Rhinolophus ferrumequinum: one gene and its partner. The protein of the gene in region 1 interacts with the protein of each later gene in a biochemical or structural test. Links are inferred from orthologs where the notes say so. Each region holds a gene or a part of one and is shown on either strand. Other genes may lie near its edges.

Region 1 (15,992 bases):
AGAACTCTTAAAATTCAACAACAAAAAGACAAACAACTCAATTCTTTTTCTTTTTTCTTCTTTCAAACAACTCAATTCAAAAATGGGCAAAGGACTTGAATAGACATTTCTCCAAAGAAGATATACAAATGACTAATAAGCATATGAAAAGATGCTCAACAATTAGTAATCATTAGGGAAATGCAAGTCAAAACCACAATTAGATACCCCTTCACACCAATTAGCATGTCTACTATCAAAAAAACAAAACAAAACCCAGGAAACAAAGATTGGTGAGGAAAGATGTGAAGAAATTGGAACCCTTGTGCACTGTTGGTGGGAATGTAAAATGGTGCAGCCATTGTGGAAAACGGTATGGAAGTTCCTCAAAAAATTAAAAATAGAGCAAACGTATAACCCAGGAAATCCAAAATAATATATAACCAAAATAATTGAAAACAGGGTCTGGAAGAGATATTTGTACACTCATGTTCATAGCATTATTCATAATAGCTAAAACGTGAAAGCAGCATAAGTGTCCATCAAAAGATGAATGGATTAGCAAAGTGTGGTGTACCATACAATGGCATATTACTCAGCATTTCAAAAGAAGCAAATTCTGACACATGCTACAACATGGATGAACCTTGAGGATAATATGCTAAGTGAAGTAAGCCAGTCACAAAAAGACAAATACTGTCTGATTTCACTGATGTGAGGAACCTGGAGTAGTCAAGTGCATAGAAACAGAAAGTAAAATGGTGGTTTTCCAGGGGCTGGGTTAGGGTGGGGTTGGAGGAGTAGGAAGTTAGTGTGTGATGGGTATACAGTTTCAGTTTTGCAAGATAAAAAGTTTTAGTGCTGATGGTTGCACAAGAATGAATGTACTTGATGCCACTGAACTGGACACTTAAAAATGGTTCATGATGGTAAATTTTATGTTATGTGTGTATCTTACCACAATTAAAAAATAAAAGACTCCCTGTCAGGGTGAGGCTGGGTTGGAGATAAGGATTCGGAAGTCACTCCCATAGATGTTGCAGTTGAAAGTGGGGGATTGGATTAGAAGCCCAAGAAAGAGGGTACAGACCGAGAAGGGAGAAGAGAAGAGAGCTGAGAAGTGTGGGTGCCATAGTGTGGTTAGCACCTAGGCTCTGAAGTCCGCAGACATGGGCTGCAATCTGGCTGTGCCACTTCCAAGCTGTATGAACTTGGCAAGTCACTTAACTTCTCTGTGCCTTAGCTTCCTCATCTGTAAAATGGGGGATAATATTCATATCTAACCTCACAGTGGCATTGTGAGGCTTAAATGAGATAATGCTTACACAAAAACACTTAGCACAGTGCTGGCCACCTGGTAAAACACTCAATAAATGCGAGCCTCAGGGAAAGGTATATTTAAAGTATTTAACAACAGATATAACACATATACTAACCAACTGGAAGAAACAATGCCTTTAGAATCCTGTGCATTCCAGGGATATGCCCACCCTGGCCACCGGGCTGGGGAGCAATCATCAGAGGGAGAACAAGGAAGGTGGCTGGTCTCTCTGGGGGGTTTTGGGAAAGCCTGTGTTGGGGGGAGCGGTGTTGAGCAGTTTCAGTACAGCCTGGGAACGCAAGGCCTGAGTGAGGCATTTAGCTTGCTGATCTCTGAACAGCAGTGACATGGAGAGTTAGAGGCCGGAGGTGAGTGAGAACAAAGTGAAGTATCTGAGAACCTGATGCAGACTGCTCACTCTCTGGAGAAATCTAGTGATGAGGAGGGGAGAATATGAAAAATATCTGCCATTAGAGTATCATATAGAATAGTTTCACTGCCCTAAAAAGCCTCTGTACTCTGCCTATTCATCCCTCCTTCTCTCCCTCCAACCCCTGTAATCACTGATTTTTTTTTTTTTTGCTGTCTCCATGGTTTTGCCGTTTCCAGAATGTCATACAGTTGGAAACATATGGAATGTCGCCTTTTCAGACTGGCTTCTTTCACTTAGTCATATGCAGTTAAATTTCCTCCAATCTTTTCATGGCTTGATAGTTCATTTCCTTTTTGCACTGAATAATATTCCATTGTCTGGCTGTCCCACAGTTTATTTATCCATCACCCACTGAAGGACATCTTGGTTGCTTCCAAGTTTTGGCAATTATGAGTAAAGCTGCTATTAATATCCCTGTGCGGGTTTTGTATGGACATAAGTTTTCAACTCCTTTGGGGAAATACCAAGGAGCACAATATCTATCACTAGAGATTGATTTTGCCTGTTCTAGAACGTCGCATAAAATGGAATCATATAGTATTTACTTTTGCTTTTTTTTAATATCTAAACTCTCACTCAACAGTATGTCTGAGATTCATCCATTAAAAAAAAATAACAGCTTTATTGGATGTAAGTAAAGTGACTTTTTAAAGTATACATACAATTCAGTGTGTTTTGTTTGTTGTTTTAGTATATTCACAGAGTTGTGAAATCATCCCTGTGGTCTAATTTCAGAACATTTTCATTGTCTCAAAAATATCCCTTATACCCTTTAGCAGTAACGTCTCATTCTTTCCTCTCCCTAGCCTCTCGCAACCACTAATCTATTTTCTGTCTCTATAGATTGGCCTATTCTGGACATTTCTTTTGTTTTTTTTTAAGGAGGGCACAGCTCACAGTGGTCCATGTCGGGATCGAACTGGCAACCTTGGTGTTATCAGCACCACGCTCTAACCAACTGAGCTAACTGGACACCCCTGGACATTTCATATATTAATACATGAAATGATACAACATGAGGGCTTTTGTGACTGGCTCCTTTCACTTAGCGTAATGTTATTGAAAGGTCATCCATGTTGCCGCGTGTATTGGTACTTCGTTCTGTTTATTTGCTGAATAATATTCCATTGTATGGATATGCCACATTTTGTTTATCCATTCAGCAGTTCAAGGAAAGTTGACTCATCCTGTTTTTCACACATAACACTAGTTTGTTCTTTTCATTTCTGTGTGATAGTCGGTTGAATGAACGTACTCAATTTATCCATTTTACTCTTCATAGACTTTTCTCCTCCTCGTTTTCGGCCACGTTAAGATGCTATGAACATTTTGGTATATGCCTTAGTTGGCCTAAGCACTCGTTTCTGTTGGGTATAGACTCAAGAGAAGAATTGCTGTGTGTGTGTGGGAGGAGGTGGGTGTTAGCTCCGTTGGTTAGAGCGCTATACTCAACAACAGGGTTGTCAGTGGATCCCCACATGGGCCACTGTGAGCTGCGCCCTCCACAACTAGATTGAAACAACTACTTGACTTGGAGCTGATGGGTCCTGGAAAAACACAAATAAATAAAAGTTTAAAAAAAAAAAGAGTAGAATTGCTGGATCATAGGGAATTACACGTATATTCAACTTTAGTAGCCACACGGATTAACACTTTCCCAAAGTGGTTGTAGAAAGCAATTTATGAAAGTTCCAGTAGCTCCCCATTCTTGCCAACACATAATATCTTAATTTTAGTCATTCTGGTTGGGGATAGTGCTATCTCTTTGTGGTTTTAATTTGCATTCTCTAATAACTAATGATGTTTAGCACTTTTTTCTTTTGCTTACTGGCTAATTAGATATTCTATTTTATACAGTGCTCATTCAAATCTTTGTGCATTAAAACAATTGGATTGTCTTTTTGTTAACGTAGGTGATCTTGATAAATTCTAGATATGTGTCCTTTGTTATATCTATGTATTATAAGCATTTTCTCCCAGGCTGCGGTTTGATTTTTCACTTGCTTAAAATGTGCCTTCTGATGAGCAGAGTTCTTAATTTTCATTAAGTTCAACTTAACAATCGTCTCTTATGGTTTACACTTTTGGGGTCTTGTTTAAGAATTTTTTGTCTACTTCAAGGTCATGAAAATATTCTCCTATGCTTTCTTCTAGAAGTTTTATTGTTTACTTTTCACATTTATATCTCTGATCCATCGTAAACTATTTCCGTCAGTGGTATGAGGGTAGAGGTCAAGATTCATGTTTCCACATGTGGTTGTGCAGTTTACCTAGCATCATTCATTAAAAAGACCATCTTGGGCCGGCCCGGTGGCTCAGGCGGGTGGAGCTCCATGCTCCTAACTCCGAAGGCTGCCGGTTCGATTCCCACATGGGCCAGTAGGCTCTCAACCACAAGGTTGCCAGTTCAATTCATCGACTCCCTCAAGGGATGGTGGGCTCCGCCCCCTGCAACTAAGATTAAACAAGGCACCTTGAGCTGAGCTGCCGCTGAGCTCCCTGATGGCTCAGTTGGTTGGAGTGCATCCTCTCAACCACAAGGTTGCCAGTTCAACTCCCACAAAGGATGGTGGGCTGTGCCCCCTGCAACTAGCAACGGCAACTGGACCTGGAGCTGAGCTGCGCCCTCCACAACTAAGACTGAAAGGACAACAACTTGAAGCTGAACGGCACCCTCCACAACTAAGATTGAAAGGACAACAACTTGACTTGGAAAACAGGCCTGGAAGTACACACTATTCCCCAATAAAGTCCTGTTCCCCTTCCCCAATAAAATCTTTAAAAACAAACAAACAAAAAAAACCCATCTTTTCCATACTTATTTGCAGGGGCACCTTTATAATAAATCAGGTGACTGTATAATTTTATTTTAAATATGGTTATATAAAGATTTGAAGGAAATAACAAACTGTTAATAATTTTTATATTGTGGTGGTAAGGTTTGGGAGATTTTTATTTTCTTTCTTTTTAGTATTTTCTATACCAACCATAATACTATTTTAACACTCAGACAAAATAGATGAAATATTTTTTAAACTATTACAAGAATAGACACTATCAAGGGTGCAGGTTCTTGGGAGATGGGGGAATGGTGAGGCTGGACAGCAAGTAGGAGGGCTTTCTTAGTTATGGATGCATCTAGGCTAGTGGATGGCAAGGAGAGAATTCAGGGCCCGGGCAACAGAGGACTTCCATCTTCTTAGTGACCTCATTTCCCTGGAAGAGGGTGGTGCTAGGAGGCTGGGGCTCCTGAAGAAAATGGAAATGATTGTTCTCCATAACACTCTGTTGAGTACTAACAACAACAACAAGAACAAGAAGATAATGCTCTGTCGTAGTGCACACTGCTTTCAGGTCCAAGTCTCTGGGCTCTTCCCAACAGTCCTGAGGGCTGGGCAAGGCCTGGTGATTACGCCCATTTTGAAGATAAGGAAACAGGTACTCTCTGAGTCCTGCTGAAGCGTTCACTAAGGACCATTCTATGCCAAGCCTCCTGTTAGTTCTGGATCCCTGGAGGGTCGGGGAAGACATTTTGGAAGAGGTGACATTGAAGTGAGTGTTTTTCTTCCATTTTTGGAAAAATTGTGTAAGACATATATGATAGAAATACAGATAAGCAAAAGAAAAAATCAGTCACAATTCTTCTGCCCTATTTACACTGTTATAAAGCCTTTTCAACTTCTCACGCGCTCTCTCTCAGACACACACAGAGTACACAAAAATAAATTAAATCCTGCTACAATAGCATTCTAAAATTTGCTTTTGCTTAGTATAGTTTAAATCAGTAAATACAAATCTGCATTAAAATTTTAATGAATTTCTGGGTATTTTTCAACATATGGATGTATCAAAATTTATTTAATCAATCTATTGTACACTTATAAAATTTAATGACTATCAACAATGTTGAAAAGAACTTTTAAACCCATATCTGTGCACTTTTCCAATTTTTTATTGATGGATTCTAAAAGAAAATTGATTAATTTACTTTCCCATCTATATCTCTAAACCTGGCCAACAGTGGGCATTTTTATTCTTTTCTTTTAAGTTGATAGGTGAAAAATGGCATCCTATGTCGTTTTGTTTGCATTTCTGATGACTGTTTTTCTTTTTTTATAGTTATTGGCAGTTTAGATTTCTTCTTTTTGAATTGCCTGTTCCCTTCTTTTTTCTTTTCTTTCTTTTTTTTTTTTTGCCATTTTTATTTTGAAGTATTTGGGCTTTTTCTTATGGACTGAGAATAACTTTTTATATATTGTTGGTAGTAATTCTTCGTAGCAAAATGTTTTTCCAGTTTTCTTTTGCCTTTAGGTCATAAACTTTTTCTGAAGTTTATTTGGAAGAGTTTAGTCGTCATAGGAAGGAGAGTCCAAAAGGAAAGAGTAATGAGAGATTTGCCCTCTTAGATATAAAATGTATTAGAAAGCTACTGTCATCAAAGTATTGTGGAACTGGCTCAGGAACACACAGAAAGATCAACGGATACAACTCAGAAACAGATTGAAGCGTATGCTGTATGAGTTGGATAGGTGATGAAGGTGGTACCTGAAATCAGTGGAGAAAATGGTGTGTGGACAACTGGCTGTTGCAAATATTGTATTCGATTTCCTCCTCACTCCAAAATAAAAATAAATTCCAGGTGAATTAAAAGATAAATATAAAAATTCTCTTAAAAATTAAAAAAAAATTAATTTTGTAATGGGCAGTAACAACAAAAAAAGTACTCTTTGCCTACCTGAAAAACAAAAAAAAACCAAGAAAACATTTTGTAACAAATACCTAAAAGGAAGTGTGCGAGTTAATCACATGAAGGTAAAGAGAGGCTTGGAGGTGCCTTCCAGACAGAGGGAACCCGTCTGAGCAAAGGTTTGGAGGCTGAAAGACGGCAGCGTGCCCACACTATAGAATCGAACTCAGGGCTTCCACAACGGATCCCGGGCAGAGTCCTTGTTCGCCCCACAGGCCATAATAATTATGTAAAATAGCACTTTTCCCATATATGGTACTTAATTTCTGTTCTGGTAGGATGACATTGGACAGGGAAAACAGCTCGCGGGGGCGGGGTGTCAGAATCCCGGACCTTTCCAGTCCACTCCCGCCGGGCCTCGACCCCGCCCAGGCAATGCACCAAAAAAAAAAAAAAAAAAAAAAAAAATCCCTGCGAGCCTCCTCCTCCTCATTGGACTTTCTCTGTGTCAATCGTCCTCCTGGAACCTGGCTGTCCGTTGGACCCGCCCTAGGAGGCGGGGCTCCCGCCTAGGAAGCGCGGAGGAAGGTGGAGAGTGTGGTGGTGGGGGGATGATGAATCCCCACTTATTTGGGCCCATAGGCTCCGCCCATCCCTTTTTACAGGCTAACATATCTGTCCATCAAGAGTGGGAACAAGCTGGAGTGGGTGAGACAGCTAGGGGGCGGGGGCGTCCTTCAGGCTCCGCCCCGGAGCCGCGGAGAATGGGCGAGCGGCTGAGAGGGCGGGGCGGGAAGGCGGCGAGTAGCCGAGCTGGGTGCGGTGAGGCGCGCAGATCACCGCGGTTCCTGGGCAGGGCACGGAAGGCTGAGCCAGGTTGACCTGCTGCAGCTCCCGCCTCGCGCGCTCGCCCCACCCCGCCGTCGCTAGAGCGCTCGAGAAAGCCCTCTCGGGAGAAGCAGCGCCTGTTCCCCGGGGCAGATCCAGGTTCAGGTGAGCAAGCCCCACCGGCCGGTCCCAACCCGGGGCAGGCGGGCGGGGGCGGCGGCGGGGGCGGCGGCTACTGGACTCGCGGCGTGTGGGGCGAAACGACCGACGTGTGGTTCTCGGCCTCCGCGCGGCCGGCTACTGGCGCGGTCCGGCGCTAACGCGGCGGGGCTGGGCCGGGATACCGCATCCTTCCCTGAGGGGCGCCGGGACCCCTGCGTGACTCTCGGGGAAAGCGCCTCTGGAAGCGAGGCCTTGGGGAGCAGAGGAAGGCTTCGGGGCCAGCGTTCCCCGGAAACCCTCGGTCTCCCCCACCCCCGCCCGCCTCACGCCTCCGGCGGGGCACCCAGGAGCCTCGACCTCCCCCTGCTGCCCGGGCACGCGCCCCGCCCTCGCCTCGCCCAGTTCCCAAGTTGGGCAAACTTTTTAACCCCTTCCGGGGAGCCGCTGTCCCTTCGACCCAAACGGGTGGGGGCAAGGTGGGGGGCACGGGGCTCCGGCTGCTTTGGAAGTTTCCAGGCCTTTTCGAAACGGAGGTAACGGGCAGGCGGGGACCGTTTGGCAGCTGTCAGGGCGTCCTCCTGAGTCAGAATCGGACAATCTGCTGCAGACATTGCACTCGGCTCAGTTTCCGCCCTCCGCTCCCGACTTCCTCATTCGCTGGGCTGCGAGCGAGCGGGCGCGAGGGGACCGAGAGAGGTGCGGAGGGGTGCGCGGGGAAGGGCGACCCCGCGGGACCGGGCCGCCAGGCAGGACAGACTCCCCCGCTCTCCCACAACCCTTCCACCTTTGACTTCTGACTTCTGCCCCGAGAGGAGGGCCCGCAGCGATCGGCTGGGTCCAGGCGCGCACCTGATTGCGCCGCACCTGGGGGCGTCCGGCCCGGGTGGGAGTGGAGGGAGCTGGGTGCTGCTCCTCGAGGACGAGGCCTGGGCTGTTGCATGGTTGCTGTGTGGGCCCGATCCAGGGTGTTCTACACCCCCACCCGCACTTCCCTGTGCGGGGGTGCTCGCGCCGTGCTGTCCTGGGGCCACCCCCAGGGCAGGACCGCAGCCCCTCCCCCCCCAGCGAGCCCCACCGTTTCGCATGGAAACGGACGAGGAGAAGGTTGCCGGCTGTCTTGAGGTGGCGGCAGGGTGAGTGCCAGGGCTGCTGTCTGCGGCCCCACCTAGCCCGTGTGAGGAGAAAGGTTCCTGGGAAGTCCCACGTCCTGGGGACGGCGCGTCCTCCTCGGGGCGCTCGAGAGGCCTGGCCGCTCGCGGTCCACTGCGCCCTGGCCTGGGTTTTACAGGGTTTCAGAGGAACTTGGGTGACTGGAGGGAGAAGAGAGCCCTACGGGCTTCCTGCAATGCTGTGGCCGTTTCTCACCCCACTGTCTGAGGCCCGCCTGGTAACTCACCTGGTGGCTGACTTCCTTTTTGGGAAGGAGGGAGGCTGCTTTCAGGCCTGTTTAGACAATCGCTTGATTAATATTAGTCAATTTATATACCAGGCTGCTAGGGGTGAGAGGTGGGTACACAGATGTGTAACTGAGCAAATATTTAACTGGCTTCTCGGTGCTGGGGACTCTGCCAGGTGGTGGGGGTGTGAGGTTGAGTAAGACCTGGCCCCTGCCCTTGGACGCTTAGGAGAGAGCGGAGACAAATCTGTAGATGACTGTCCTGTGAGGTGAAGATGAGAGAGACCCCAGAAAGGTACTGTGAGTCGTTGGGATTGGGAGAAAAGAGCCAGCCCATCCTGAGGCTCGAGAGTTTACATTCCTCAAGGGGAAATAGTGGCCCAATGACTGAAGTACAAAGGCAGCCTGTGATGAGGGTCCCAAGCATGCCACAGACAAAGGACTCGAGGAATTCCGGAGAGGGGCCACTTCTGTCTGGGGCCAGGAGGGAAGCTGCTTCGAGGAAGTTGCACATTGCAAGTTTGGCAAACTGAGGGCAAGCACTGGGTGTTGGAAAGTGAGGACTCATTTAGTGGATAATTGAGGGGCAATTAAAAGCATCAAGAGATTGCTCGATGTAATTTGAGAGCCGCTGTGCCCCCCAGATGTCTGCGGGGTGACACCAAAGAGCTCTACTCTTCACTGTCAGCAAGTCCTGGCGGTGCTTATGGGCAGATCCAGGTGCCCCATTGGCAGGCTCTGCTTGGGGAGGGGCAGCCTGAGGGGTGTATTCTGTGGGGCTGCTTGTCAGAAGGGCGCATGAGGGGAGAGGAAAGAGAGGGTCAGGGCCCCGGCTTTCTGTTCTTTATTTTTAAACTTTTTAACCTAAGGGGCTGGAGATGGGACAACTTCCCTCTTGCAGGATGAAGGTCGCATGTTAATCACAGCCTGCCTTTCCGCCTGTTCTTGCTCCAGAAAAAACAAAACAAGGATCTGTTAGCTTTTTAAAAGGAGAAAAGCACATTCAAAAAATGCAGCATTGTTGTGTAGCCTGGTAGGGTATTGCTAGAAACCAGGCGAGCTGAGCTTTCTTCACTTCCTCTTGTAGCTAATCCTTCAGTAAAGTGCTTAAGACAGCCCTTACCAGCTTGACATCTTTATTTCAAAAGGAGAGGAGGGGTTGGCTGTTGTTTCCCTCGGAGGCGGGCCCTACCCTTCTCTTGGAGGGGGAGACAGAAACCCAAAGCAAAGGGGGAAAAAAAACCCTTGCTTTAACAGCTTCCTCCCAAGCATCGTGTTCCAGAAATATTTAGAATAACAAAATCTGTGTGTCGTCTTAATTAAACAAACATCCTAATTTGCTGAGCATAAAACAGCATCTCTGCCCGCAGGGGCAGGAAGTGCAATTTCTCTTTGTGCAGCCCCAGAGTCTCTGCCTCCCGGCCTTAACCCTTGATGAGCCTTAACCCTTGGTGCCCTGGGCCCCTGGGCTCAAGTCCTCTGGTGACAGCAGAATGGAACCCTGGCTGCCCCCGGGAAGCAGTGCTCCTGTGACTTACAGAATTCCGCTCTGAGAGCTGGGAAGAGTGGGGTCTTGAGCTTTGGAACTAGGCAGAGTTCCGATCCTGACCCCACCACTTCCTAGCTTTACGACCCTTTAGGTAAGTCACAGAACCTTCCCGAGCCTCAGGGTCCTCTGTGTCCTCCTATTCCTTACCCGTAACATGGGAATCGTGACATCTACCGTGCAGGGTTAGATGCGAGAACAAAAAGAAATAAGGTATGTAAAGGGCCTGATCTTTTTAAGAAAATATATAAATGTTCAGCTTTAACTCCGTGGGTTGTCAGGGGGAGGAAACAGTCGAGGAGGGGTAGATGGTTTTCCTGGCTCAGTGATCTTTCTGCTTCTGAAAAGGTGTGCTTGGGTGTGTGCAGAAGCCCAAGTGGTAACAAAAGTGGTTCTGGGGCCCATCTGCCGATACTTTTGGATTCACTTGGTGGTGAGCTCATGCTGAGCATCCTTGGTCCAGGGCCCTGGCCTGGGCAGAGGGTGTGCAAAGCAACTGCGGTTTCAGTTCTAAAACATGGTTTCCCATGATCTAGGACACGGCCAAAGGGTGGCATGGAAAGGTCATTGTAGTTGAGTATCTGGAGACCTGACTTCCAGCTCTGGCTGGGGAAACATTTGATTTCGGTAGCAAGTGCCATTATCGCGTATGAAGACATCACACCAGTTTATGTGCTCACTAGTTATGCACAAGAGCACGAGGGAACTGAAAAATTGAGGCGTGTTAATTTCTCCAAGTTTCTTAGGTACTCTCATGCCCCGTTGATGGGAGGAGCATACGTGGTAACAACTGTCTTTTTTTGCAGGTAGTTTGACAGTATCTGTCAAAGCATAGTCCTTCTGTCTGAATTCTAGGAATGCATCCCACAGATAAATGTGCAAAAGGTGTGAGGATATTGTTTGCAGCATTGGCGTAGACAAAGACAGGAAACAAGCTCACTGTCTATCAAAAGGGTCCAATAGATCATGGCACCCCTGTACAGTGAGAATCCTTACAGCCCTGAAAAAAATAAGGCTGATCTAGATGTAGTGATATGGCATGCTTTCCAAGGTATGTTGTAAGTGGAAAAAACTCGACACGATAAAGTAGTATAGATGGTGTTCCCTTTGTGTGAAATATGCTATGTCACCTGAGCTCTGCACGGGAAGATGCCGAGACCCTGGGAATAGTGGTTGTCTGTAGAAAGGACCCAGGAAGCAGGAGTGGAGGCCGGGGTGTGTGTGTCTGAGCATTTCATTTCACTAAATGCCTTTTTATACGTATTTCCCTAAAATAGTCAAAAACTTAAAAGTTTCGTATTTTTATTACTTATCTGGCCAGTCTCGTAGGTCTCAACTTTCAAATGCATTGCTCTAGATTCCAAGTTTCATATTGAGTGCTTACTGTATGCAAGGAAGGAGGAAAGGTTTTAAAAATGGACTGACTTGTTCTTGTGGTTGGAACATATTTGGGTACTGTTTTTTCCTCCATGATGTCATATCACCAGAGTAACCCCTTAAACAAATGTCTACTCTGATCTATTCCCTCATATGCTGGAAAATGGTAGATGGTTGCTTTTTCTTTGCTGTATGAGAAGAGGAAACCTGCAGTGTGTCTGGAAAGTATTTTGGGATAACCTTTTGCCAGGTTTCCCACAATTCCCCTGGCTCCAGATCCCCCGAGGTCTTTTCCTGGGGAGCCCACCCTGAACAGAAGTCGACACCAGGCCTTTATTCTCTTGGGTCCTCTAAACTTGGGGTCACTGCAACCACTGGTGTGCCCCTTCCCACTTTGTCCCCAGTTATCCGTCAGACATCTGGCCTGTGGTTTTTGTGTATTAAGAACAGTGGAAAAGCCCAAATTCCTGAGAAAATGTGATCAGAAAGGTATTTTGAATTGGGGGGGGCCTCCATTCTCTCAGGGAAGGCGGTCTAGTCTTGGTTGATGTGGGTGCTGGAGAAGCTGCCAGCTCTGCTGTCTGCTGAGTGGGCTGTTTTCCGTGGCAAAAGCAGCGGAAGACCCCTTTAGGGTCTTGGGCAGGCCTGTGTCCCTGCCAGGCTGCCTCCGGGCCTCCTGGAGGAATGGCATGAGTCACACATGCGTATACAGAATGAGCCTGGGTCTAAAATGGGCCTACCACCACATGGGTTTGAAGGCTGGAGGCTGGCTATACCCCCGCCCCCACTTCGTGCTTTGATGGTACCAAATATTTGGGAAGCAGGAGGGGAGCTGCCCTCTTGTGTCTGATGCATTTCTCTTTAAAAAGGAACTTAGGCAGGCCTCTGTTGGAATTTCTCAGGCCCCCATTCTGCTGACTAGTTTCTCCAGCCTGGAGTGATTCAGCACCCAGAATGGGGCACAGCGCGCTGAGCCCACAAGAGGCTCGTGGCTGGCCTTTGGCTGAGGACAAGGCCTTCTGGGGAGCTTCTCCCCAGCCTGAGCCTCCGGGTCTCGCGGTGGCGCCTTCTGTAGCTGCCTCCTTCCCCAGCTCTGGTGGCTGCTCCACCGGGAACCTTCCCCCTGAGGCTGGAGGGAGCTTTACAGGCCCTTCCGGAAGTTGCCCCTGAAGGGTGTGGCTTCCTGCCTGGGCAGGTTGGGCCTCGGCCTGTGGGGAAGCTGAAGGTGGAGCTGATTTCCCCCCACCTTCATCATTGCCTTGGTGCTTCTCAGGGGTCCTGGTCCTTGGGGCCCTACAGTACTGCCCGGAGGACTAAGGGAGGCCCCCCTATCACTTCCATGGGCATTTACATTTGGGAACTTGTGTCTTAGATTTCTTTTCCTTTCATTTTAACTCTAATTCTAAGTGATTTTTCTAAAAGAAAAATCAACAGGACAGTAAAACCCTCCCTACTGAATTTGCTTAGAATTAGGGAATGCCTGAGTTGGAAAGGATCTTAGGGATAGTGTAATTTTTCTCCCCCAGTTAGAGGAGTGGTTGCCCAAGCTCATCTGTTAGTTGGTAGAAGAAAGCTTTTGGCCCCTGGTTTCACTCAACCCTGTTGCCTTTCTTTCAAAATCATGTGGCCTTATTTAAAAGTGTTTTTGAACTGTTATCATCCCTTTTATATACTGTTTAGCCAAGCAAGACATACTCAACTCCTTTAATCTTTCCTCAAGAGTCTATTCTTCCACACCCTTAATCTTTTTCTTTTTTTTTGGTGGCGGGGCACGAGGGTTAAGAAATGGGGTGGGAGGTGTTTCGGGTTTCTCTGAACTCTTTCCAGTTGGACAGGGCCATTCAGGCTGAAAGTTCCCACAGCTCAAAAATCAATATTTCACATGGGGTAGAGCCAGGCACGGGGTTGGGGGGGGGGGCGGCTTACAGAGAGCGACCCTGGCTTCCACTGTCCAGGAGCCAGTCCTGATTGCTAGTAATTTTAAGTGATTTAATGCCGTGGATGATTGATTATTGTATTTTCAGTACAAAACTCATAGTAGAGGGAACCAAACACGGGCTTTGGGGTCAGGGGGACCTGGGACCAGATTCTTGCCGTTTCTCCTACCACCTGTTACACTGGAGCCTGTTTCCTCATCTGCACGTGGAGATGGCTGCTTTTTTAGACTTGTCATAATTCGCATAGAAATATATGCAAATTGTTCCAGTTCTTTTTTTCTCCCCTTCCTCTTCCTCCTTTTTTCATGTTATCACCAACATCATCAGGTGGTAGGAAATAGGTGTTCGGGTTTTAAGGATTTTAAATTTGTCTAATAACCCTGTCCCTTTGAGAACAAGATGTGGGGACTGAAATGATTGAGGGGCCTGCTGGAAGATTTCCTGGGCTTGGATGCTGAGGTTTTCAAGGCCTGCGACCTTTGCATCCTTCCCACCACACAGCGCAGTTCAACTTGTTTCGTCTGAGCTGGTTCAAGCCTTTGAAAAAAGGCTGTCCCCAAGCCGGAGAGAGAGGCACCTTTATTTAGAGTTGTCTGTGTTTAAAAGCTGCCGCATTTCCTGTGTTTTACAAAGTCACTGGGCTGGACAAGGCAGCTTCCTGTCTGATAAACATAAAGACGAAGCGTTTGGAACAGTCGGGGTGACTTAATCTAACTGGTCTGGAAGGGGGAGAAGATTGTAGAACCTAATGGACTGTGAGAACCTGGAGGTCAGAGGCAGCATCTTTTTTCCTCTCTGGCTCCCAGGTTCTTGCCTGGTCCTTGTTGAACGAGTGGTGTTTAGGTCTCATTGGCGCCATTGCCCGTAAACCTGGGGACTGGGAGGTCCCGGCAGCCAAAGCTTTGGAGTGACATTTAGTTAACGATCTCTCCCTTTTATAAACCGTGGATGCAAGGTACTTGTCTGGGAATCTCAGGGTGAGAAAGGTGGTGGCAGGGAACCATTTTCAAGTTTCTGCCTATTTTGTAATATTTAAGAGCCACCCCATTGCGCATGAGGGTGTTGATCCCAAATTTCTCTGCCAGGTCAATAACAAAGACTCCTGGGGTCCTGCTGTGTGGCCTGCAGGGGCCACGAGGAGGACGGAGAGCCAGCCCTTGTCCTCAGGAGCCTTACCCTCTAAGAGGGACACTGGGAGAGGGATTTGCCCCAAGAAGTAGGCCCGTGCTGCCCTGAGCGACTGGGGATTGCTGAGCACTCTGAGCAACCTTTCTGGGGGCTCGACCTGCCTGGGAGGCGGAGGAGGGAAGGTGGGCAAGGAAGGAAGAGGCTCAATGGCAGGGCGCTGGCCTGGGAATCGGGATGCCTGGGGGAAGTCCGCCGTGATAATAATAAAAACAAGTCAACTTTTGAGCATTTGCTAAGTACCAGGCCCTGTGCTAGCGCTTTTACAGGACTTATCTCCTGTCTTACCTCATTCTCATGAGGTAGGAAGTTATCGCTGTGTTACAGATAAGGAGCCTGAGCAGGGATTCAAACTGCAGTGTGACCTTATAGATGCCCTTCACTCCTGGGCTTGATAGTGAGGGGTTGGACCGGTCCCCGAGCCCCTCCTCCCTCCTCTCACCAGTGGCCGAGCATTAATGAAAGGAGGAGAGAGCTCGGGGCCGTGGTGGAAGGGGGCCTCCTGCTCCACAGTGCGGTTGGCTGCTCAGAGCCAGGCTGCCTGTTCCATAGTGTTGCCTCGGCTACGGACTTCACCTCTAACCTCCACTGGCCGTTTCTCCAATGTGTGGGGTTGGTCCTAAGGGAGGGCAGGTGAAAAGACCACGGCCGGGCAGTGTCAGTGTCGGCGGCTCTGCCTGCCTGGGCCCTGGTGGCTGGGCCCGGGCTGGTCTTCATTGGGGAGCCAACGAGCCAGAGTGCCCGCCGCCACCTGAACCAGGGGGCTCTTCTTGACCTCAGCCCACTTGCATCCAGCAAACTTGAATTCCTTCCTTCTTCATTTGTCCGTCTGTCCACCGTCATTCAGTAACTACTCCTCAGAGCTTATTCCGGGTGCTAGGCACTGGGCTGGGTGCTGGGAATATGGAGGTGAAGGAAGCAGGGGCCCTTGTTTCCAGGAGCTGATGGTATCCTGCCATCTACAGAGTGCCGGGGGCCCAGGAGGGTCTTAGAAGGCTTCCTGGAGGAGGCGGTATCTGAGCTGATACAAAAGCAGGGATGTGGCACAGAGATGGGCTGGGACCTTTTTCAGTCACTCAGACTCTGGTGGTGCTTTGTTCTGGGGTGATTCAGGTCGCTGAGGCCCTCTGAGTCACGGGCT
Region 2 (15,907 bases), on another chromosome or scaffold:
GGGATGGGATCCGACGACATGAAGAGGCTCATTGGCTGCTGTGTTGAAAATTGGGGCTGGAACAAGGACGAGAGCAGGGGGGCAGCTGTGGAGAGCTGGGGGCTCGGGGCAGCGTGGCCGTTGCGGGCACCGGTGAGTGTGTGGTGTGTGCTTTGGACCTGTTGCTCACGGGGGTGGGCAAGCATTCAGCCCCGTCCTGAGGCTCATGGCCTGAGCACCTGTGGAGGGCAGCCATATCATTTGTCAAACCAGGGCAGTTGCAACAGTGAAAGGTGGCCCTAGTGATAATTCGTCTGCGACCAGGAGTATACCAGGGCTGTCGCAGACAAACAGGTATGGAGACCCTGGGTTTATACTGTGGTGGGAACACTGAGCAGGGAGCCCGCTGAGCCTGAGAAGGCTTTTCAGACCCAGTGGCTCCTGGTCTGGGCCCGGAAGCATAAGCACAGCAACCCGAACAGCACCCCAGGCGCGGAACACGTCCAGAATGGCCCCAGGAGTCCATGTGGCATGTTGGAGAGGGTTTGTGGGTGTTTAGAGGGAACAGGGAGGCGATGAGGCAGGTAGGAGGCAAATGGTTGTGGGGTCTTAGGACTTAGAAGACTTTAAACTTGAACTTAGGTGTCCATTCTCCACTGTGGGTATTTGTGCCATGGGACCTACAGTCCTCTAGAGTACCTGATGCCCAGGGAGGTACTGGTGCATTCTGAATAGTCAACTTATTTGAATGTCTGACAGGAAAAATATTTTTAATTTTTAAAATGATACACCACTGGCTGAAGAAGTCTCACACTGGGGGCGGCTTCTGGCTGTCCGAGCCCCTGGAGTGGTGCTGTTCAAACTCCCAAGTGCATGGGAACCCCTGGGGTCTTGCGGACATGCAGGGCTCAGTCCTGAGTCCAGCACCTGACGCTCAGTATTTCTAACGCGCTCCCAAGCGAGGCCTGTACTGCCCAGGAACGTCCCACACTTGGAGTGAGGTTATGAGTGGGTTGCTGAAAACGAGAAACAGTGATGGGGACCCCTGGGAAGGTCTGCGCAGGTCAACAACGCAGGTCTTTCTGCGTTAGGGAAACGTATGGTGGTAGAAAATGGAAGGGCAAGGGTGTGAAGTGAGCCATGAGGCTTATTTGTTAATGTCAACACAAGTTAGCAGAGTCCAATGTTACCAGGGTCCATTTTTTGTTGTTATACGAGGTGTGATCAGACAATACGGTGAATGTTTACATTTAAAAAATTTATTACAGTGAAAGACACATTGGCATTAATCCCCCTCAAAATACTCCCCCTCGCTTCGTACACAGTTATCCCATCATTCCTGCCACTTTCTGAAGCAGTTCTGGAAGTCCTCTTTCGTGAGTATCTAGTTGCGCTGTCGTGGCTGCCTCCATGTCCTGAATCATTTTGACTTTGAAGAGCCAGAAGTCACACGGTGCCAGATCCAGTGAATAAGGTGGATGAGGACACACTGTAACATTTTTGTTGGACAGAAATTGCTGTACCAGAAGCGATGTGTGACACAGAGCCTTGTCATGATGGAAGATGCTTTATGGCACACTTTAAAACACACCTCTCAACCGGAGCTCACGCCTGACTGACTGCACTGAACAAGTTGAAACTTGTCACATACTGTTACTGTTACTAAGGTTCAATGTGCTGCTTCCCATATTGAAGGTCCCTGCCTTTCCATTGGATGGCCCTCGGCAGCAGCACTCACCGTATTTTGTGATCACAACAGAAAGGCTCCGTGTCACACATTGCTTCTGGTACGGCAATTTCTGTCAAATAAAAACATTACAGAGTGTCCTCATCCTCCTTATTCCCTGGATCTGGCACCATGCGACTTCTGGCTCTTCCCCAAAGTCAAAATGACCATGAAAGGTAAATGTTTTGAATCGATTCAGGACATCGAGGCAGCTACAATAACGCAACTAAAGACACTCACGGAAGAGGACTTCCAGAACTGCTTCAGAAAGTGGCAAGAAAGATGGGATAAGTGTGTTGGAAGTGAGGGGGAGTATTTTGAGGGGGATTAATGGCAGTGTGTCTTTTACCGTAACATTGTTAAAATTTAAACGTTCATTGTACTTTTTGGTCACACTTCATACTTCCCTATATTTAAAAAAACTAATGAAGAAAATTATAAACATTTTATAATAAAAGACTTGAATAAAGATTAAAGGTAAAATGGTAACAGCCTTCAAAAACCATTCGGCCCCTTTGCAGTCATTCCTGGAAGCCTGGAAAGGGCGCCAGGGTCTAGGTCCTGGCAGTTTCTGTCTGTATACCTCTGGAAACTGAGGTGACAAGTGACAAGTGTGTGAGCAAATGCTGGGCACTTAGGGGAATGAACTGTGGCTGAGCACTTCCTTCCACTGTTCTTCACAGTGTCCGGTGGGGGCACATGGGGAACACACACAGGGTAACGAAGTGCAGAACCTCCAGGCGCACCCCTCCGGCACTGCCCTGAACACAGCTGGGGCTGTCGATGAATCTGAGATTAGGGGGGACGGTGGCCGGGCCCCCTTCTCCAGCTGGCAGGCCTGTCCCGGTGCAGAGTCTGCACCTCCAGACTCAATTCTGGGAGGAGGAGGGATAAGACCCATTTTGGCCTTAGGTCCAAGGCAGCTTCTCCAATCCAGCTCTCCTGGGAACAGAATTTCAGCCCCTGGCTCTGGTGTTTCCCAAGGTGCGGGGGCAAGTGCCCATGGCACCCCCAGGCTGCATACTGGCCTCTCTCCCCCCACCCCCACCCCTCCACCCCCGCCCTGCTCCCTTCTGCACCGTGCATGGAGGGTTGGGGCCAGATCTGGCTCCCCACGTGGCCAACACCTAGCATCAGGGTTTTCCTCCAGATGTTTGCTAAGCTGGGCCAGGAGCTGGCCAGAGCTTGGGAACACTCTGGTGCCCAGGGGTGGGCAGAACCGCCCTGGGGACATGGGCCCGTGCCAGGCAAGGCGAGCTGGGGCGCTGCCTGGGAGGTGGAGACCATAGGAGTACACCACACGGCTCCTGCTTTAGCTCAAAATTTCTCGGTCTAAATAGACATCCTTTTAAAATCCTGGTGTCCTAGTTCATCATGCACCCCAAGGAATACAGGCATGTTGGCCTGAGAATGTGGGCTTCAGAGACCTGCGGGTAAGTCTAATCTGAACCCCTCGTTTTACAGATGAGAAAAGTAGTCCTGCAGGGGTAGGGACTCCCTGGGGTCACTGAGCAGGTCAGTGGGGCCAAGGCCAGGCAGCCTTGCCCCCGTGCCCAGGTTCCTGCCACCATTCAGCACCTCCTGGGACCCCCTGTGCTTCTGCTTCAAGGGCAGAATTCATGCTAGTGGTAGGAGGATCCCATCAGGACATTTGAAGGACATTAACACCTTAGTTTGGAGTCAGCCAGGCCTGAGTTTGAACATGTAGAAATGTGACCTGAGTCCCCTTTTCCTCAACCAGCATGGACTTTATTCTGAGCTCCCCAAACTGTCATGGGTTTTCCAGTACACTGTCACCTGGAAGTCCTGATGAGAAGAAAACTCAGCAACGGTTTATTAAGGTGGGAAAGTGAAGCCCCTTGCATCCGGAGGCTGCAGCACGGGACACTCCAGGCCTGCAAAGATGGCAGGAGGCCACTCCGAGCTGCGACTTCTCTGAGTGGATGGGCTTTCTCCCTCAAGGCCCTTGGCCCGCCTTTACTATTTTACTGCCATCACCAAAGGGGCTCCACCCACACCTCTGGTCACGGATCTCCAGCTCCAGGCAAATGCCAAATTCCTCACCCAGCTCTCCTGACTGCCTGCCCGGCCTCACCCACCTTCCACTCAGCTGCGTCCTTACAGCTTCTGCCACACGCCTGCTCCAGTCTGCAAATGTGCCCGCTCTCTCCCAGCTCCAGTCCTCTCCATAGGCTGGTCCCCGGGGTACGAATGCCCTCCCTTTGTCTAGACAAGTGGTTCTTACACTGGAGCATGTGTCAATCACCTGGAAGCTTGTCCCACTCCATCTCCCAGCCTTCCTTGCTGCCGGGGGCCCTGCCCTAGGGTTTCTGATTCCGAGCACGCAGATGCTGCTGGCCTGGGGACCACACTTTGAAGACCCTGGTCTAAAGAAGCCCCTCTGTCTCAGCCAGTCTCATCTTAAGCAGCACGTCCTCCGGAAGCCTTCCTCGGGGCTCCCACGGGCCTCTGGCGTGACACTGTCATGTCATTGCTTCTCAGTGTCCAGACAGAGTTGTGCGTTAGAGCGTGTGGTGCAGAGAAGACAAGGGACACGGAAGGAAGAAGGGAGAGGGCTGGGAACTAGTGCCGAGTGCTGTGGGGTCTCCATCCGCTCCCGGGCTTTCCGTGCCCCACTGCAGTTGATCCTACATCCTCCACACCTTTGAATGCTCTCCAGGGGTCACACCAAGGGGTCACGATTATTATCACCATTTCGTAGAAAATTGATCCCAGGTTATGGAACTTGTCCAAGGTGTCACACAACAAATAAGAGACAGAGCAGGAATCAAAGTGAAGTCAACCTATGGCTTTCTGCACTTGCAGGGCGTTTATGGTCCAGCAACGGGGTGGTGTAACTGAGCCCTGCTCCAGTGGGCTGGGTTGAATAGTGTCCCCCAAAATGCACGTCCTTCCCAGCACCTCAGAAAGGGACCTTACTTGGAAGTAGGGTCATTGCCGATGGAGTAAGTGAAGATGAGGGCATGCTGGAGTAGAGGGGCCTTCATCCAATATGGCTGGTGTCCTTATGGTAAGAGGAGACACAACACAGAGGGAAAAAGGCCATGTGATGCAGGCAGGAGTTGGAGCCACGCAGATGCAAGCCAGGAAACCCCAAGGGCTGCCGCCGCCGCCACAAGCTGCGAGGGAGACTCGGCTTGCGTTCTAGCCTGGAGAAAGGTTTGCAAACGGCCGCCTGGGGTCCAGGGCTCACTGCCGCCTTCCCCAGGGGTTGTGTGCCAAGGGCAAAACAAGGTCCTTGCCCTCCCAGCTTCATGGTACGTGACCCCTGCCATTCAGCTCATGCATGAGAAACTCAATTTCTCAACTCTCTCAACCTCCTCCCTCACCAAATATTTGAGACGCTATCAAGGGTAAAACCTGTTTGCTCCTGGAGCTAGCTGTCTGTGCAATGAGAGTGGACAGGAGTCAGCGAGCCTGGGCTTGTTCCCCAACGACCCTGCTCTGAGCCTCGGTTTCCCCTTCTGCAAAGTGTGGAGGTTGCACAGATAGCGAGGCCCCCTCCTCTTCCTTTTCTGCTCCCTCCATCACCGTCAGATGTCCCTTGGGCAGGTGGCTGCAGGACCCCTGAACCAGGTGTGGCTGGAGGGCTCCTTCCTGCACAGCCTCCTTGAGGTCTCCCTGCCTCCAGCCTCACCTTCCTCATCCCCGTCTAGCGAGTGGGCTTCAAAAGGGCAATCCGGTTATCTCTCCCAGCAGGAAAGCCTCCAGATAGCTGGCTGGTCCTAAGCTGGCTGCACAGCAGGCTCACCTGGGAGGCGCTGGGCCAGCCCAGCCCTAAGAAACGGGCAGCTCTGAGTGGCTGGGGCTCAGACAGAGCTGGCATGAAAGCCACCCAGGGGCTCTGCAGTGCAGCCAGCGCTGGGAGGCCCAGGCCTATGGGACAAGGTCCAGGTGAGGCCGGCCTGCAGCCGACACCACATTCCGTCCCCAGAGTGTCAGTTCTTCATGCCCGGGGGCCTTTGCTGCCCCACGCCCCACAGCACTGCGTCCTGCAAGCAGCAAGCCCCACTTCATCCTTTAGCTGCTGTGTGTGGCCTGGGTCCTCCTTGCCCCTCTGCTTCTCCCCTCCTCCAGTCACCTCTCCCTCACGTCCCCCTCTCTGGCTGGGGCCCCCTGAGGTCAGGAACTGTGTTCCCCTGGCCCAGTGCAGGGACCTGGTGACACAGGAACTTGCTGCACCAACGTGGTTTGGGGCCTGGCTGGCTGGGCTCTCTGCTGACCTGGGACCACACACGAGGGGGCTTCGGGCATGTTTGCTGAGACAAATATCCTCCTCAGACGCCTCATCTGCCCAGACTCCACAGGTTAGGGAGCGTTCCCGCCAGGCCGCACTTCTCCTTCCCACCACACACCACGGCTGTCCCAGAGCCTCCATCCCACCACAGGCCCAGCCCCGCAGGAGATACTTCCCGCCCGTCCATCCCCTTGGCAGAAGCAGGGCAACCCTTTAATTCCTGGACACGGCCTCCTGCGAGGCGATCACCTGGCCCCTTTGTGTTCAGTGGTTCCTCTTTACTCTGCGTAATGTGGAAGAAACTGGTAATTCCAGTTCTTCCTCTGATCTCTCAACACTGGACGTGGGAGGGGTCCGGCGCCCAGGTGTCTGGGTGGCCAGATGCATGGTGCCCGCAGGCAGTGGGGGACTGGGCGCAGGAGCCCGGGAAGGCTAGAGGCCCTGCTGAGGGCAAAGTTCTCTGACTTCTCCATTCTGCGATCGCACCAGTTGTTAGATGACATGGGGGAGAGTGAGCTGGGGAAGGGGAGGCGGGCGTGCTGAAGGCAGAAGCGCTTTCCTTGCCCGTCCAGACTGTCTCCGCTGGAGCCAGCGGGGGACACCCTATTGTTAGGTCAGCTACGGGCATGGTCAAAGCAGCCGGGAGCCGAGTCATACCCCTCTGCCAAGTCAGACCCCTCCCCGCATGACAGAGACTGAGGCCCCTGGAGTTTCCCAGAAAAGGCAGCAGACCACTGGTGCGATAAGCAACTCCAGACACAGCCGCTCCTGCCCCATCTGCGCTAGGGGGCCCTGCTCATCTGCCACCTCACACAGCAAACCCCCACCCCAAAAACCGCATATATGCCTCCCTCCCTCTACCCTGGGTGCAACTTCGCTGGCCCCCATCTGCAGACCGGTGAACCTCGCCCGGAAGCGCAGAATAAAGCACTAATTTTCTCAACCCGCCTGACTAGCCTCATTATCTCACCGCAAGCCTTACACCTATAACCACAGAAGCAGCTCAGAATGGTCCTTATCCTATTTGATGAGGTGCTGAGTTCTTTCTCAGAGACAACAGACCAGGACCAGGGGTCATGCAGCCGAAGCATGCGCAAGGGAGAGAACTTGGGCCTCCAGCTGCACCCAGAACCAAAGTCGTCTCACCCACCCACCCCCACGGAACCAGAGGACTGGGACAAACCTGGAACTTGAACACAAGAACTCTTTCAGAAGTCAAGGATCTGCTGTCCAGGAAGACCCGTTGTTGACACTCCTTAGTGTAAAAGGCCCTGTTCTAAGGTCCTGCATGAAAACTTGCCCCTTCAGCATTTCCGCACATCTGTGCCCCCAGCCCCTTAAAAACCCTCAGCCGGGTCCAGCGAGCAAGATGGATTTGAGGCACCGCTAGCGCTCCCATCAGTTGGCGTCTTCTCAATAAAACTTTCCTTACACCAAACGCTGCTATTTTGAGCTTTGGCCTTTCCAAGCGTCTGGCACACAGATTTTGGTCCAGTAACCAGCCCTTCCCAGCTCTGGAAGGTGTGGGCTATGAAGATGACAGCCCTCCAGGTTCTGTAGCTCTCCGATCTGCTTCTTTGCTGATGCTCCTTTACCCCAGGACCCCACAGAATTTGCAGAGGAGACCCCGGCAACAGCAACTGTGCCCACACCTGCAGGGTGGGAAGAAAAATGACCCCAACGTGGTCGGGGATAGAAAGAAGACCTTTTTGCAAAATGCAATTGACAATCTCCTTTTGGGATGAAACTAGCTTTCTAGACAAATAGTTTCTGTTAAATTTTATAGAGTTAAGACCTGGTCCGGGATATTAGTTATCTGCCCACATGGAGACTGTCTGCTGGCAGAGGTCATTAGTGGGCTATTCTTTTCTGTTTATGTTCGCTCTATCGATGGTGATCTAACCACTTTTTTTTTTTTAATCCCTACAAAGATCTCCACCAAGAGAGGTCTTTGAGTAGGCCTGCTTTGACTTTTGCAACAAGTCAGAAAATGAAACTTTGGAAAAAACACACATTCATGACCAAGATGGAGGCAGCTCCAGGCCGGCCCACGCTTTTCTGTCCCAGGTCCTCCGCCAGCAGGTCTGGGAGCTGCCCTCTGGGTCTGACGGACTCTCTCCTGGAGCAAATCTGAGTCAGGCTCCTCCAAGCTCTCCTCCTTGGGCTCCTCCCCCTCCTGTCTTCAGCCTGCCTTGACGTGTAAGTCCTTGGCCTGTCACTAGCAAGAATCCCCCAATCCTTGCCATCTCCTCTTAGTCATTTTCCACCCACTGACCCCCTCTATTGGTGATAAATGACCAGCTGTCCCTGTCCTACCCAGAGTTGAGCCCGGTCTCCCCCATATTTCAATAGTCGTGACTCCTACTGCAAAGTCCTGAGCATCTTCCTTCTGTTTTAACGGGTGTCAGAACCATTTATTTGTCCTCTAAGGAGGTGTCTGACACACAGGTCTCAGTATAACCCTCTCTTGGGAATACGGCCCATCCTCCAAGTAGGGGCTCCAAAGGGCCCGCACCGTTCCCTTAGGGCTTGCTGGTGAGTTACTCCGGCAGGAGCGGCCCTGGTGAAACTTTAGGGTGCTGGGGAGCAGCTCCCACAGTTGTGAAAGCTTCAAGTTTAAATGAAGGCGTGAGGGTTAGCTCCCCACTTCTGCTGCACCGTAAGGTCAGGGCTGAAGGATTCCTTCCAGAGGCGGTAGCCCAGGGACTTGGGCCCTGGAATGTCATTCTAAGAGGGAGCTGCCCAGCAAAGGAGTGGAGCTGGCCCTTCCCTTTTCCCAGATAAGCCTCCCTTGCGGGAAACCTGGGAGAAGGCGACATGGCCAAGGGAAAATCAGCTGTTGAGAGTTCAGCTGCCCCTGTGAAGTGCCAGGCTGGTGCCAAGCCGCGTGTGTGTGGCCTGATTTCATCCCCCCACGACCCTGCCCTCCAAGTTCTGTCCAGGCTCTCGCCCTGTATCCATGTCAGGCAGCCAGGGACCGGACCTGCAGGCTCCCCCAGCGACAAACACCTCCGTGTGTGGGCACCACCAAGGAGAGGAGAGTGGCAGCTGGGGGAGGGGTGCAAACGTGACCTAGACCCCACACTCAGGGTGGTCCTGACAGGCAGAGGCCCAGAGGAGGCTTCCCCCTGCCTCACCCCTGTAACTGCTGTGGTCTGGGGAGCGGGCCAAGGTATCAGATGGTCAATGACTCACAGGGTGTTCTGAAAAGCAGGTGACAGCAGCTGCTCATTCCAACATTACAACTGAAACGCTTTCTCTGTCCGCCCACTGGATGCCAGGCCTATCTGATAACCATAAGGACAGGGGCTAGAGGACAGGTCCACGCATTCATTACTCACTCAGCAAACACTACCAGGCACCCACTGAACCCCAGAGGCCCCACTGGTCCCCCACGGTGGGGGACACCATTGTAATTCACTGACCACCCCAAAACACAGGCAAGCGGAGTAAAATATGGGCTCACCAAGGTAGCCTGCACCCAGGCCTAGCCTGGGGGAAGGTTCCAGACAATGGAACCAGGAAGTTGCAACAATGGCTTCCTCAGAACTGAGTAATGCAGACTGGGAGGGGCAGGGTTTGTTGAACAGTCCAGCCCTGTCCGTCCCACCCTGTGTCAATACGAAGCTGGGCCTTATAAAGCACCAGGAGCCCTCCGGTGGGCCATTACCTCGGCCAGTGCAGCCTGCAGGAGCAACGTGCAGAGACGCAACGTGATTGGTCCGAAGCCGGCACCATGACGGAACTGGAGACTGCCATGGGCATGATCATTGATGTCTTTGCCCGGTACTCGGGGGCCGAGGGGAACAAGCAGAGCCTGACTAAGGGGGAGCTGAAGGTGCTCATGGAGAAAGAGCTCCCTGGCTTCCTGCAGGTGAGGGCGCAGGGCCCTGGGGGACAGGATGGGGGCTCCCCCTGGGGCAGGGCCAGCTGGTTCCCGGGACAAGACGAGGGTCAGGGAAGACAGTGGGGGGAGGAGAAAGAAGGGCATGGCAGGCAGAAGGGGCAGAAGTGGTCAGGACCCAACTGCTCTAAAGGAGAGCGGCAGTAAGGGGAGACCAGCTCCAGTCCCTGAGAAACAGATCTGCTGCCCCAGGGACTGGGGACTCTGGAGCTTCTGAGCAGGAAGGAGATGCGGCCAGGGCAATCCTTGAAACAGGGTGGGAGCCCCAATTTAGTTGGGAGTGGGATGGGAACCTGAGCTGTGGGAGATGGGGAGCGGGGGCACAGGGACCAGATCCAGGGCCATCTCTGAGGCTGGGGGCATGCTGGTCCCTCAGAAAGGCCCCCCTCCAAGGCTGCTGGTCACAAACATCCCTGCTCCACTGTCTGCTTGCTCGCTGTCCACCCCCCATTCCCAGGTGCCCTGCTGCCAGGTGTTAGGGGGACTGACAGGAATAAGGATGGGAGGACGTCCCATCCTGGCACCTGTCTGCCCAGAGCCACTGGGCCTGGAGCCTCCCCAGGGGGCCTCCCCAGGGAGGCTAAACAAAGGGCCTGCCCTCCTCTGCCTGCCCCTCTTCCTGCTCCCCTCCCCTTCAGCCTGCCTGTCCCTTCCCTCCCCCCCCCTCCCCACCCCTGCCCCACCAAACTCACCTACCTGCCCTCTAAGGCATTTCCTGAAAATGCAAGGTTGACATTTTCAGCCTTAAGTATCAGTTCAAAGACACTGAGCACTTCAGTATTTTTCTCTTTCTCTAGATGTGAATGCAGTGGAGATACATTTTTTAAAATAAAGTTCATTTGCTTTTCTCTATTTTAACTATGTTTATAGTAGAAAATGTAAAATACGGATCTGTAGAGGAAAGAAACCCCAGCACAGTTCTCCCTCTCCCTCTTCTTTCCAGCCTTTCCCCGTGTGAAAGTTGATGTGAATGAATTTCTAATTTATATGCAAGTGCATTTCTTTTGACTTTAACGTTATAACAAACATTCTCCAGCTTCAGTGCTCATTGAACGCCCGCCCCACACGCGCGGTCCTGGGAAGCGGCAGCTAAGCCCGGGATTCTCAAACTTGGGTTCCATCAGAATCAAGGGGAAACCTGGCAAAAGCGGGGGGGCTCAGGCCCTTCAACAAGCCCAGCCTCCAGCCGAGGCTGACGCCCGGCAAAGTGGAAGAAGCACTGCGCTCAGCAGTGTCCACTTTTAGCCGTTTCCTCCATGCCCAGCCCGGCGCCTGGCCCAGTCGGAGCTTCACAAACACTGGGTGGCTGTCCGGCTACAAATGTCCTGCAGCTCCCTTTTGATGGCTGCAAGGCGTTCACCTCACCCGTTCGCTCGCAGTTTGATTACTATAGAATTTGCCGCTTCCGGGCCTGGGTCGTCAGCGCCCCCTGCTGCTGCTTTTCGGATCTGCACTGTGGTGGTGCGTGGTCTCTTCTTGAAGACGGTGCTCTGGCACTGTCATGTGAGCAGACTCTCAGGGACACCCCCACCCCACCCCCCACCCCTGGCCCTCTCAAAGACCTGGGTCCTTGAGGTCCGACCCGGGTGCCCGAGCAGAGGGGAGCGCAGAGACTCTGTCCTTCTGGGCCTAGTCTCAACTCCAGATCCGCCCTTCTTCCCCGTGTCTCCTTCCACCCTCTGGGCCTTATTTCTTCATCTGTAACACTGGGTGATACACCTTCCTTGCCTGGTGTTTGTGAGGCCTAGAGGAGGTTTATGTACAGCAGCTGGCTCCGTGCCAGCACGAGATGGGTGTTTGGTAAACGCGACGGGAAGAATTTTAAAAAGGCAACACCCACAAAGCTAGAGGTGCACACAGAGGGAACACGAGTGAGTGTGTACCCTGGGAATCATTTTAAAGCGCATTATACAATCCAAAGACAATCCCCTTCAAAACATAAAAATAAAATAAAAACTCTCCTGCATTGCATTCGCTAGAGCAGCTCGCGACCTCTGAGTGCGCCTGTCCTTTCCAGGAGCAGCGGGTCTGCTGCGCACAGCTGGCTCTGGCACGAGCCGAGCCGGCTGACAGCACAGGCTGGACAAACTCGCTTTTCCCTCCCTCTGCCCAGGGTGCGGCTTGGCTGAGGCCCAGGCCCTGCACAGGCACCCTCATCGCTGACCTTGGTCCTCTGTCTCCTCTAGAGTGGAAGGGACAAGAACACCGTGGACAAACTGCTCAAGGACCTGGATGCCAATGGAGACGCCGAGGTGGACTTCAATGAGTTTATAGTGTTTGTGGCTGCACTCACGTCTGCCTGTCACAAGTACTTCCAGCAGCCATGACCTGACTGATACTCTGTAGCCCCGGATTCCCGGAGAGGGCACCAGGAGAGGGCCCCTGGCTTCCAGAAAGGCCTGGGAGGCAGTTATTTCTCGGGGCTGAGCCAGCGGATGGCCCTCTAATAAATAAAATGCTCGTGAAATGATCCTGGTCTCAGAGAAACTGCTTCTTTCCTTAAAGCCTCAGTACCCCCTCCCACACACACCAACAAACTCACTCATCTGTCACTTCATGCTCACTGTCTGCCCAGTGGAGAATGGAGATGGAACAGCACAGGTCACTTGGTAAGAGTCCATGCACGGGCCACTTCCTGAGTGCCCACCCTGTGCCAGCTGATGGCTAGGGCACAGTCCCTGCTTATGTTTATTCGTCAGCACAGAGTGAGCCCCCTGGAGTGGATCCAAGGAAGGATTGTGGGATGTGTATCCATCCATTCAATCAGTCAGTCATGTAACCACTCATCAAACCCTGGGCCTCCATCTTCCATCTCTCCAAGCACGTTTTTTTCAGGTAACATCTTTCTAATGGTACACTATTTCTTCTTGCCACAAAACCATAAAACACAGTAATAGACCTCGAGAAAAAATGAATTGTGAGGATGAGAATCACCACCAGTGAACAGCTGGCCACATCACTGATGTTCACAACTTTGTGAAACTCTAGAAAGCAACCAACGTGACTCAAGTGGGGTCTTGGGTGGTAGGTCAATTTGACCTGGTTTTGAGACTCTTATCATTTTGAATACCCAACAGGTGAAGGCTTTTCTTATGTTTGAAGACATCACCAGGGCAAAAATGGGCACCACTGAGAGATCCTGAACTTGGCAGTGGACACACCGATATAAGGCTTTGGTTTGTCCTTTGGTTTGTCCCTCGGGGAAGGGATGGCTCGGGTTTTTGTAAGAGGGAGAGTTGCGTTAGGTTAGATAGGAGCAGATACACACATGTAAATAAGGTGTGAAAAGTCAAGTGAATGTGACATGGGGGAGCTGGAAGTGTGGACCAGAGTGGAAATTGTTTTTGTTTCCTTCCTCCTTCACAAATTAGTCACCATCCTGTGAATGACGAATCACCTGGTTAGGAGGCAGAGCCTATAGAAGCTGCGGCTAGCACCACGGCCCTTGCTCCCTGACCTCGCTTATAGCTGGGGCGAATCACCTGACCTGGGATCCCCCAGACCCTGCCCTCACCCCAGACTTGGAGTTGGGCAATTGATGCAAAGAGTGGGGACGTGGAAAAACTCGCAGGAGCCTTGCAGCATGGCCGTCACTACGGAGTCCTGAGCCTAGTTCTCCAGATCTCAGCCATCCTGCACTTCTCACCATCTTACAGGAGACAAGTCTTTTCTACATCATCGCCTGGGGGGAGAAACGGGGGGGACTCTGTGCTTTCCAGCTAAGAACTCAGACTGCTGGAGTATGCAAATGGCCACATGCCACTTCCTTCAAGTGTCCCTGGGGCCTCTCCGACAGGTCCTCAGAAGCCCCAGCCTCTCCTCGTGAAGACAACAGGGCCGTCTTTCTGTTGTCAGTCAGTCCACAGGACGGCCTCCATTCAAGTGCCCTGCTTTGAAGATTCTTTCCTGGACCGTGCAAGTTCATCTCATCCTGGCTGCACCCCTTCCTCCAGCTGAGAGATCACCTCAGCTTGGACAGCGATCCCTGCCCCAGCCACCAGCCTCCCGTGGTTCTCCGTCAGCCCACTTCTGTTTGGCGTCCCGAGGAGGATGCAGAACGCGCAGCGCTGTGGGTGAAGTCCACAGTCACCGCTGGAGTCACAGCTTCCTGGAGGCACCTGGCAACCAGGTCCTGGTGAAGCAAAAGCTCTTCCCCCTCCTCTAACTAGCAGTTTTTAATGGCTGCACAGAATTCACTAGAATGAGTGTACCACTCTTTGCTCATTATTAAAGATACCGTTCTTACTTTTTGGGTTTTTTTTTTAAAGTATGCTACAGCTAATATTTTCATGCATAAATCTTTGTCTTAAGCTCAGAAATTTTCCCCAAAATGAATTCCATTTTTAACCTAGGATTCCTAGGGCAGAGGAGTAAAAATATATACTATAAAATGTTCTACCTTAACCATTTCTAAATGTACAGTTCAGTATTGTTAAGTATATTGTATTGTAACATTCACATTGTTGTGCAACCAACCTCCAGAACTTTTTCATCTTCCCAAACTGAAACTCGGTACCCATTAAATTAACCAACACCCCCAACCCCCGGCAACCAGTGGTCCACTTTCTCTGTGACTTGACTACCTTAGGGACCTCACGTAAGTGGAATCAGTGTTTGTCCTTTTATGTCTGGCTTATTTTATTTGGCATAACGTCCTCAAGGATCATCGTTGGTGTAGCAGGTGTCAGAACTGCCTTCCTTTTTAAGGCTGAATAATAGTCCATTGTATGGATGGACCATATTTTGCTTATCCATTCATCGATCGCTGGACACTTGGGTTGCTTCCAGACTTTTTTAAAAAAAACAAAGTATTTAACCCAGGTCAAGTGTCTCCACCATCATGCTTAGGAAAACAAGCAGTAGCTTGTTTCTGATTTTTTCCGGCAGAAGCAGCCTTGGGAGCCTGACCTTCTGCCTGTCGCCAGCGCCCCCTGCTGATGACTTGCAGAATTGGTCCTTGGCTAAGCTCTGTCCCCCCAGCAAGGATGGTGCATTTTCACCTTCCTCAGGTGGGTTGCCCGTGGGTGCTGGGACCACCATGGCCTGGCTAACTCCTGGCTGAGCACGGCAAGTCAGGTGCCCTGTCTGCTATGAACGATGAATGTCGAACAAATGCCAGCACTCATCTCTAGGTAACATGCTATTTGATTTATCCTGCTGACTGTGTATCTCCACTTCTAGAAGCAGGCTCGAGGCAGAACTTTTGGACTGTCTGGTCACTGCTATATCTCCTGGTGCCTAGAACAGTGCCTGGTATACAGCAGGAGCTAAGTAACATTGATGAGTAAATAAAAACATCTGCGGGAAAAGGGAGTTTTCGACGGTTGTAAGCAGGGAACTGACATAACCCCACTCACTCCAGACTGGAGTAAAACTGCAAGCAGCGAGGCCAGTGAGGGGACTATCCCGCGAGTGGCTTGGAGTAGCTGGAGGGAGCTGGGTGAGTCCAAGGTGTGCTCTGGAGGTAGAATCAATGTAAGGACGGGAGGGGCTGCTGAGGAGGCAGGTGTCAAGAATGACACTGAGGTCCCGGCTGAGAAACTTCTCTTCTGCACTGGTGAGCAGACACAATTAAGTGTCAATTAAACTGACATACCTAATTGGAACTCATTTCGAGGAGTATTAAGAAGCACCAACCCCGTGACAGCCAAGCACTGGCCTAAGTGCCAGGATTTCACACGTGGACAGAGGCCTTGCCCTCAGGGGGCTGACATTCGACCGAAAGAAGTCAGACAACACCCCAAATACCCCACGTCGGGTAGTGAAAAGAAATGGAAAGGACAGAAATAGTGGATGGCACTGCTATTTTATAAGCAGGAGAGCCTCTCTGGGAAGGTAACATCTCAGCAGAGCCTTGAACCCACTTCTCCCCATTTGGGCTGGCAGCGCCCACAGCACGGGAGAGGTGGAAGCTGCAGCTGATTTCTTTATTTGCTGTTCCTGGGTTCTTCACTGTTTTGTTGGTTTGTCCCTGTGCTTCTTCTGTCCCACACCCCTACTGCATGAAGCCCTCCCAGGCTACCTCTAATGCCCCCATGGG

The links.
Region 2: the proteins of MYH9 (region 1) and S100P interact in a biophysical measurement, tested with the Homo sapiens proteins (2 studies listed by IntAct). The link is inferred for Rhinolophus ferrumequinum from reciprocal best matches to the Homo sapiens genes MYH9 and S100P.

What each region holds. Positions count from the first base shown.
Region 1 is NC_046293.1:10,278,317-10,294,308, forward strand, and holds the start of MYH9 (myosin-9), read left to right. Parts: upstream 1-7,229; 5' UTR 7,230-7,413; intron 7,414-7,998; exon of another isoform or gene 7,999-8,106; intron 8,107-15,992. UniProt on the Homo sapiens protein: Cellular myosin that appears to play a role in cytokinesis, cell shape, and specialized functions such as secretion and capping. Required for cortical actin clearance prior to oocyte exocytosis. Promotes cell motility in conjunction with S100A4.
Region 2 is NC_046288.1:84,343,746-84,359,652, forward strand, and holds S100P (protein S100-P), read left to right. Parts: upstream 1-9,618; 5' UTR 9,619-9,699; coding exon 9,700-9,837; intron 9,838-12,053; coding exon 12,054-12,194; 3' UTR 12,195-12,338; downstream 12,339-15,907.